Drosophila melanogaster: one gene and its partner. The gene in region 1 interacts genetically with each later gene. Each region holds a gene or a part of one and is shown in the gene's direction. Other genes may lie near its edges.

Evidence for each region.
Region 2: of bib (region 1) and fru, changing one enhances a phenotype caused by changing the other (phenotypic enhancement), as found in Drosophila melanogaster (one study listed by BioGRID).

Annotation. Positions count from the first base shown.
Region 1 is NT_033779.5:9,982,553-9,987,698, forward strand, and holds the start of bib (big brain), read left to right. Parts: upstream 1-2,092; 5' UTR 2,093-2,397; coding exon 2,398-2,594; intron 2,595-4,236; coding exon 4,237-4,403; intron 4,404-5,048; coding exon 5,049-5,146. UniProt on the Drosophila melanogaster protein: Essential for proper differentiation of ectoderm. Acts synergistically with neurogenic locus proteins Notch and Delta during the separation of neural and epidermal cell lineages in response to the lateral inhibition signal.
Region 2 is NT_033777.3:18,542,502-18,547,458, reverse strand, and holds the start of fru (fruitless), read left to right. Parts: upstream 1-1,872; 5' UTR 1,873-2,346; intron 2,347-4,957. UniProt on the Drosophila melanogaster protein: Probably acts as a transcriptional regulator.

The DNA of each region.
Region 1 (5,146 bases):
TCCAGAGGGGGGTCTTATCAATATTATTATCAATTGTGAAGTATTAAATTTTTAGTGAATGTGTTTAAAATTGTTTTCTACGGGTAATTCTTAACAGCTCTTACCTTCTCAGTAATCTATTTAAAATCTTTACTTCTTCTCCATAGGTACAATCACTTTTAATTTCCTTCTTAAATCTTTGATATCATATCAAAGAATGACTTAAAAAGTGTAATATTGATAAAATCAATAACTAAGAAACTAACTTGAACTACCTCCATGGCTGCAGGAAGGGGATCTTGCATGCACACGAGCAGAAAGACCGGCGACGATGATTATGGTGATGATGATGATGATGATGACGACGATGTGATTGAAACAAAACATCTTATTATTACCTTACCTTCGACCGGCCAAAGGAACGACCCCGTGCGACCTCGACGTAAAAACAAGCGAAAAATACGAAATAAAAAGTGAAAAACAAAAAGTCAGACACACACACAGAGAGTGTGTGCAAAATAATTCCCACGCTCAGAGGTCCCAGAGCCAGAGCCTTTTGTCGTCTCGTCTCCTTCGGCGTCTCCTCCGCATCATCATCCCCATTATCATCATCGTCATCATCATGGTGCTCCAACGTGCCATATATGGCAACGTCCTTCCGACGGCCCCCTGCCTTCCTCCGCCCCTTTTTTTTCCGAAGTTTGTCGGAAAAAAAATAATGTACAAAATCGCAACAGTGACGAAATTTCTGAGGCCTCCTCGCTTTCTTCGAGTCCCTCTTTTCTTGTGGCCGGGCAAAGAAGTCTGCGTGATTGATTTCACTTCGTCCACGGAGTGGCGAACCTAATTTCTTAACTTTCACAGCTCATTGGGCTTGAAGAATCACTCGACTCACACGAGGACAGCTTGACAATTGACAGGTAAGGGTATCAAGTGGTTAGGGCTCATAATTATAGTTTTTAGTGATGCGGAAAATGTGAACCGGTGAGAATGGCCCCTTTTTCGGCATCTCCCTTTGGAGTTTCTGGCCCGAAAGTGCACTCAAGAAAATGGTCAATCTTAAAGTACTTAAATCTCTACATAAAGAATTTAATGTCATACATACATACATATTAAATCACAAAAAGGCTTCATCTTGTAATCTATAATGGATGTGTTTTAATTTATTATCTTATTATCGATATGTTCGGGAATAAAATATGTATAATTTTATATATACTAACTATTATAGCAACTATATCATAACTATAATTTTCCCTTGGCGAATTCCAGTGTGATGGTCCTGGGATCGAAATCAGTTTTATTTTAATACACCGAGTTAACCACAAAAGTGGCATGCCCAACTCATCTAATGAAAGTTTTTGCCCATTCGGGCAGATTATTTTACATTTCATTAATGTGTCGAAAAAGGGAAATGCTTTCAATGAAAGCTGCTCCCAGGCCCAGCTGCCTGTGTTCCCCATCATCATCATCATCATCCTCATTCTCATCGTCGCAACCATCATCATCATCATCATCTTTGGGTCCCGGGAATCTGGAATCTGTGTTATTGATCAGTGCTGCGCAATTAACTTAGCAACTTATGATTATGATTATGCTGCCGAATGGGTGGTGAGTACGAGGCATTACTCATGTATGGCGGTAAAACCAACAGGTTGACAGGACCTCTGTTTCGTTTCCATTCCGTTCCAATGCACTGAGCATATTTTGGAAACTGTGAAATCAATATATTTGATATTAAATATTATCTTATGAGGTTATTTAATGTATAAAATGTGGCTTTTACTTAGAAGTGTGCAACTAAAAAATTATTTATATAAGTAAGTATAAGTTGTTGGAAATTACTTATACGTTTATATAAGTATATCGTTCAAAATATATATAGGAAAGATAATGATATTAAAACGTTGTTTTTGCTTGCAGATTTCCATCGTTTGCTGCGTGACAAATGCACCTTATTTATTTCTCAGTGCAGGGGTTGCTTATCCACCACTGCGTCGGTGGAGTGGGCAGCTGTTTCGCTGCCGCCGCCGAGCGATAGTGGTGGTGGTGTTGGTGGTGAGTTGTGTTGCAACTTCAACTTGTTCCTGAGGGCCGTGGACGTCGATGTCGGCGAGCAGAAGCAACCTGACTCTGACTCGACTCGGTTATTCGCTCACCACTCGCGCTTGAATACGGACGTGTTTTCGGTTCGAAGTCAAAGTCAAAGTAGAAGGCGAATCACAACGGATCGGTCGAAAGTTCAGAAACTCGTCAATTGACATAAATTGAGTGCAATTTGCAGTGTGCGAAATGTGTGTCTAAGTGAAGCCAATCGACCAGCCAACAATTCGCCAGCTTCGCCGCCTCTTGTCGCGTGTTTCGCTCAATTCAACTACTTAATTAGTAGACATAAACAAATCGTGCTTTGAGTCCGACATGGCCGACGAAAGTCTGCACACCGTGCCCCTGGAGCACAACATAGACTACCACATCGTGACGCTATTCGAGCGCCTGGAGGCGATGCGTAAGGACTCGCACGGCGGTGGCCACGGGGTCAACAATCGCCTGTCCAGCACCCTGCAGGCTCCCAAGCGGAGCATGCAGGCTGAGATTCGCACGCTGGAGTTTTGGAGGTAAGTCAAGCCTGCCCTAGGACAAATACTTATATAGATATACGGGATTAACTATGTTATTTAATGACTGAAATTCGGAAAAACGTCTTTTGCCAAAAACTTGATATTTACAAGCGGCATTTTTGTCATAACTTCGCTAAAACTTCTCATATTGATGAAAGAATAACTGTTTTGAGCAGCTATTTACCAGAGCTATCGAACCCTATCACTTTTTGAAGGATTTAGGAAAATTAATTTTTGGGTGAATTTTCACATTTTTTGTAAGGGGTAACATCATCAAAATTTGAAAAAAAATGGCAAAAAAATTGAATTGTCGTTTTTAAATACAGTTCGATTAGGAATTTAATTGCGAGTTTAACGAGGTATAACATTCAATATTCAGACAACTATTTTAAATGTTCTGATAAAAAAACTGATAATTTTTGTGCAGAAAATTAGAGTAATGATTTGGGAAAAATGTCATTTTTACTAAGATTTTTTTAAGATTTTAAATAAAACCACAATCTGTTGTGTATGATCAAATACTTACAATTAGAGAGGGTAAAACATGATTGTATCTCGTATGCATATTAACTAACCCTTTTTAATCTAAACTAAATCTTCAATCTAAATGGCGGGGTTTTTTTCGCGTGTATATCATCTTCGAACCTTTTGTTTTTGTAGTCATTATCTGCACTTGCTTTCAATTTGCTCAACTTTAGATGGCAATTGTTGGATGTCAGCTGGCTTTGTCTGAACGCTAAGTAATTGAAATCCAAGTGTTCTCCAGACGCACATCATCAAGATAATCGCCAAACTAAACACGGCCAAAGTTTCGAGCACTTTGTGGCCCATACAAGGACCTTTTGCTCAGGGAACTGGCAAATAACAAACATTTCATCACGAGCTGATGGAGTAATTAAATCTTAGCCAGCAGCATGTCGAGCGCTTAAATTCCGGCTAAACTGCGGGACCCTTTTGTCTCAAGTCCTCCGACTGACCATTTAAAATGAAAAACTTGAACTTAGTGGGGAGCAGAGAACTTAGGCAGAAGTTGAGATACATATTTAGTTCCAATTAAAGTGAAGTGCCGCTGCCAAATTAAACAGCTGAATACATGATTTTATGGAAATTCATAAAGCCCTCGATTTGTTTGCATTTTCGTTATCGTGCAGCGGACTCTGCGCTTTTTAGCTTAATGTGAATCAACTGAATTCGGCAGCATTGCAGCTGCTCATCAGAACGCTTCCCCTAGAGCTCCCCCATCCGCTCCAGAACCCACTCGCAGTCCCTCCAGCTCCTCCTCAGCCTGCCCACCCGCCCCCTGCTTAATTGTCACTCCACGACTTGAGGGCAACAAAAAAGAGCTTTGTGTGCAACTTGATTTGTGCCGTACAGTAGATACCAGCTAACTTGGAAAAGTCTAGGGCTGCACGACAAAAACTTTGAAACGGATTTCATTTGATTTCAGTATGAATCCTTTGGCTCAACACGCTTAGCCTTACTATACTTAAGCGCTGAAATATATGTTTATGCAACCAATATTCACTGTACTGTACACATTCCACATGCAGTCGGTGGAGCCACATGCAAACCAAACCCAGTTGCGGAACCATGCTAACCCCGGGCTCGTTCGCCTTCTTCCATTCCTCTTCCATTCCAGATCCATCATCAGCGAGTGTCTGGCCTCCTTCATGTACGTGTTCATCGTCTGCGGTGCCGCCGCTGGCGTCGGAGTGGGGGCCAGTGTGTCGTCCGTGCTTTTGGCCACGGCTCTGGCCTCCGGCCTGGCGATGGCTACACTGACGCAGTGCTTCCTCCACATCTCGGGTAAGTCGAAGGAGACAATAAACAAGCGCAAAAACATCAACAGAATGGGGCGACAAGTGTCTCTTTTCGGGTTGCCCATTGGAATTGCGTGGGAAACTGCCGTTTTCAAGGGAGCCCCATGACCATAACCAGCCAGCACACGGAACCCCCTTTTTTTTTGTTTGCTATACTTTCGAGAAGGCAATGCACTCGGTGCGGCTCCACCTACTCCAGCTCCTTGGAATCTTATCGCCCCCGGGCCAAGTTCCACCACTTCTTTCTTTTTCCCTTATTCCCTTGCATTTATTCTGGTATTTATGTATTTGTTCATTTGCGTTGACATTCAAGGCAATTAAATGTCTTTACAAGTAAAAAAAGAAAAAGAGAATGAAAACAGACCAAAGACCAAAGTAATGTAGTTGGGACCCCATCGTGAAAAGCGTCTTGAAACATGTGTTCTTGATTTTCCTGCAACTCCCCCATTTTGTGTTGGCTTGCAATTCCCCGCCTTTTCACAGCCAATTGGTTGTGCATTAAGTTATGATGTTGTTCTATACGAAATGCCTTCCGAAGAAGTGTCAAATTGATATTAAATGTTGCTCCCCTTTGGGTGGCCACCACCAGAGATTGACGTCAGTATCTAAAGATATGCTTTCCCCTTCATAGGCGCCCACATCAATCCCGCCGTAACCCTGGCTCTATGCGTAGTGCGATCCATATCTCCGATCCGGGCTGCCATGTACATAACCGCACAATGTGGCGGA
Region 2 (4,957 bases), on another chromosome or scaffold:
CATGCCACATTGGGTGGCAGTTAAGTCCGGCTCCTTGGCAATTAAAACGAACAATGCATTTTCGCAGTTTTCATTCGCCAAAAGCGAGGAACCGACCAAAATACCCGATCTTTCATATAGGACAGTCACATAGGGCCAGCACTATATTCCAATTCGCGTAGGTGGAGCACCGACTTATGTAATACTCGATTTTTTGCTGCTCGTGCTATATTTGTTTTTGTTTATTTTCGTTTATTGTTGTTGTTGCGATGGGCTGGGGAAATGCGCAAAAGAGACGGATAGTTGCAACATGTTCGATTGCAGGGCGTTGGAAAAAAGTTAACTGCTGTAAACAGCGCAGGCCTTACAGAGAGAGAAAATGGGGGCAACTCGAAATGAGAGCGAGCGCGAGTCCTGGCGAGAGGAGACTTCGGCAAATGCCGGCCACGTGACATTGTTGCACTTCCTGGCCGCGCGCTTGTGTGTGTGTGTGTGTGTGTGTGTGTGGGCGCTTGATAAGCTTGCAACGAAGCTATTAATCAAAACAGAATCAAAAAATCCGCTTCGCTGTGTGCGTGCGAGAGAGAAACACGTGCCGGCCCAGTTAACAGAGGTCCTTTAGCAGCGCTCTGCTAACAACGCCGGTTGGCAACAGCAAACGTTGGTTGGCTTGGTTGGTGGAAAACTTTCCACTCGGCCTCTCTAATAATAGATTTTATCATTGCCGAGTAAACCGAGTCGGTGTATTTACTTCGTGTAATTAATGCCTGGCTGCTTTGCGATTTTAAGGTGGTTTAATCGGACGATTAGGTGGCTAGACGCTGGTATCAATTGGCCATTTCGCAATTTGCATTTTGTGGTAATCCATTTTCATATTGGTTGTCATTCCCGTAGGGGCAATGAGGCCGTATCGTGCCCCCTTCTAGCGGCGTATTAAGTCGATTGCAAGAGTCTCAAATGTATTCCGGCTTTAGTGCTCAGCTTGTTTGTCCAACACTTGGCACGCACACGCAGCTCCGCAGGTACAGTGTACACCCTGTAATCGGGATCGTAGCGAAAGCATATATTTAATACATTTTTGATAAATTGTTTGTTAGTTTTCCCTACTCATCAATTATTAACGTTAAGTTGCCTACTTATGTTTGCTATTCGTATTGAAATCATATTATATTCAATTAATATTTACTTAAAGTAAACATTGCCTTTTTAAAAATATATATATTTTCGTTTTCTAAAGCTAGTTAATTGAGTACCCACTGTATGTGGCAGTGTCCTTGTACTTTTACATAATAAATCAAACCCCACCGAAAGGAACGGAAATGAAAGTAAGGCAAGGAAGAGGAAGGAAACGAAAAGAAATGCCACTGCGGAAAGCCAAGAAAAGAAAAGTGCATTTGCACGCTAACAGGAGCTGTTACCATTTCACTGATAAGAGCCGGCAAGCGCGAACAGCTGTTCGAGAAAATCCTCGGAGAGAAAGCAGCCAAGGATATCGAGAGCATTTCTCTTCGCTGTAAACGGGCACTGTAAAGGCGGCCAGTTGTTGACTGGGAACTAAGCCAATTGCACAATGTGGGCCGAAGTTGATGTCGTGTTGCTGCTGTTGCTGCTGCTGCTGCTGCTGCTGTGTGTGTTGCAACACGAGCAACTACAAGTGCAACTACACAACCCTTCGACTGCAAGGACTTCGGCAGCAACGAGCATGTATATGTATTCCACCGAACCCACCATGTACTGCGTTTATGTGTTGCTGCTGCTTTTGCCTTTGACGCTGCTGCTGTCGCCGTGCTGCGCCTGCTGCTGCTGCGTTTCGTTGGTGCTGCGACAGCAGAGTCGTTGCAACAATCGCAGCTTGCACATCCAGCAGCAGTCAGTTGGACGCGGCGGCTCCTTCAGCAAGGACGCACAGCTCACACAATCCCTTCGAAGGAAATCAGCAGCCGACATACCGAACGACCTGCCACAACATTCCAATTCAAATCCAATCCAATCCAGACTTTGAAGTCCTGTAAAGCGTTTTACATTCCGCTTACATAAATGCTAGAGCGCTGTAAAAATCGGCGCTAGAAACGCCAATTAGCCAAACATGTTAGCCATGTTTTAGTCGGTCCTTTCGCGCTTGACTTGTTTTGCAACTGTGTGCGTACGTTTGAGTGTGCGAGTGCCGCCCGATTTTGTTTGTCCTTTTTTTTTCTGTTGGTGTCTCACCGAGTGCCGTTTTAAGCCAAGATACTACAGACATACTAGCGACTAGCTAATACATATTAACTTGTTGTGCCAGCGTTTTGTGTGTGCCAGTCAGCCTCTGCTGAGTGCATTTTCATTAAAGTCAACAAGTTGCAGCCGCATAAGGTCAAATAAAAGCAGGTGAGTCTGTGTTCCCGGCCAACAAGAGCCAGGTATTCCTATGTAAAGTTACTTAAAGTGCAGGTGATATGCTCTTCTGAGAGCAGATTTTATGTTGTTCAAATTGTATTAAGTGGTTTTGTGGAATACGTTAAGGGCACAGGTACAAAACCAATATTAAAAAAAAAACATTTGTTTGCTCATTTTCTTTGTATAAATATTTATTTTAACTAAGTCTTTTGAAAATTTTATAATGTGGGTTCTAAAAATATTTAAAGTGCATTCTCACTATGTGCTATCTATTATGAAGTACGTGTTTATCAATTAGGTTTTATATTTAAAAATGTTAGATAGGTTCGAAAACGTTGGGGTTTCCAAGTTTTAATATAAAATAAATATATTAAAATATTTGAGTGAGTATCCAAGCAGTTAATATCTATGGTACTGCAAGAAAATTCACTACGTTAACACATTTAAAAAATATTCATCCATTCACATCAGTACAGATGTATAAAATAATTAATAACAGGTCAGACAAATATATGGTCCTTATTTACCTTTAATAATTACAAAGAATTTTTAGAAAATTAAATCATAGAATCTACTGACAGAATTAAGATATACCTAAATTAAATTACAATAAATTATTTTTCTAAACCACATTGAGGTGTTTTGCAAGAATACTATACTGCTAAGAAACATTCGGTTCAGTTATAACAACAAAATCTTCGAAAACTTTTAACTAGCAAATTAAATTACAACAAAACCTAAAGTTGGCTGAGCACAATTCAAATTTCAGTTTCTTATATTTTATTAGCAAATATCAGTTTACTTCATCTGCATTTGATTCAGTTTATTCAGAAGTTCAGCAGACCAAGGCCAATTGCAAACTGGCTAATCCGTGTTACCAATTTATATTCAATAATATATTTGAGTACTCTTACATCTCCCCCGGCCAACATAAATTTGGTTTTTAAAGGCACCCAAAAATATTTTGACAAATTATGAGGTAGGAATGTGTAGTAAATATTTCCAGAGATTAAATGACAAGTCTAAAGGGAAAATATATCTACGCTCTTAATGATCCTTTGTAATAACTACAAATCTGTGGGCCGGGTGCATCCTGGCCGTGTCCTGGCCATGTCCTCAATTTCGTTGAGTTACAAAAGGTTTAAGTAAGTAAGCAAAACGGTAGGAATCGAGTAATCGCTCTCAGGGGCATAGTTTAATATTGGATTTGTAATGGAAATCAATATTGCCCGAGGAAAATTTATGCAGAGGCCAACAAAGAAAGCAAACCATTCAAATTGAACCGGGCCAATAAAATTGCAGTGCGAAGTTTGCGTCCGAGTTTGATTTGAGTTGTGCTGAATCGTCAGCCTTGGCATTGCCAATTTCATTAGGGGCCATAAAGGGAAAGAGTCCGCTTGTAATTGCAATTAGTTTTATCGTAACTTGCAGTTAAATAATCAAAACATTTTCCCAAGCTTCCGTCCCCATCGTCCGTCCACCGAAAACTCTTTGTAATGCAAAACTTTTTAATCCGACGCCTTGGTTTGTTTACACGAACTGCCAGCGCCCCGCCCACAGCGCCCCCGATCCCTATCCACACTCCAGACAATAACAACAACGTTGACAATAAAAACAGGATTGACAGGATACACCCCAGGAAGTCGATACGCTTAATACCCTTGCACGAAAAGTGCCTAAAAATAGATGGGAATCTATTTCGGTAGAAATTAGGATGATTTAAGAAAGTTACTCTTATTATATGAGTTAAAATAAAGTAAAAAGCAGACCATATCAACTTTAAATTAAAAAATGTGAACTCAAACGATGCAAGAGTATATAATATTTCAGTTAATCTTATTATGAAACAGAAAATCAAGTTAGAGCTTGTAAACTAAATGGATTAGGAAAAAATCGGGAGTATATATATTAATTTTTATAATGATTTGGCAAAATTATATTTTAAATTTCATTAGATAAATAGATACATCTCAAAGGATTTCCTTCGTAGAAAAAAATTGCTTGAAGGAAATGCTGAATAAACTCTTTAAATATTTTTAAAGTCGCATTTGTTTAATACAACTCCTATACAGTTGAGCATATTCTGAATAGCACTTACAAAAAAGTGCTTACCAAAGTTACTAGTTTTACTTCATAAAACAGTACTAGTGCGGCTGCATTTTCCTGAGAGGCTTGTAAAGTTCTTGTTGCAGCAGTGCGACTCCCTTTCAGGGTATGAAAATAAGAAAAATTTGCATATTTACACAAGACAATTTACACACTCTCCCAGTCGGCTGACTGAGTGACTGAGTGAAGGGCCCCTGCGAGGCAGGGACGCAGTTTTCCAGCGGGGCGCGGGAATGCGAGATTGAGTGGGTGGATTGAGGTTATTTTGTAAATTGTGTGTAAGCCGAACTGCTGCGACTGCAGCCTGATGAACAGCCAGTGCCAGAACCGTTACAAAAGTCCAACAAGTTGGGAGGTGGGAAAAGTCGGGGGAAGCACGGGAAAATATGGGTAAAATATGGGTGGAAGTAAAAGGGGGGGGGGTGGCTTGGGGCCAAAGGGCGGTCTGTAACGGATGACAAGGACAAGTGAAGTGAAGTGTCGAGATGGAGCTGCA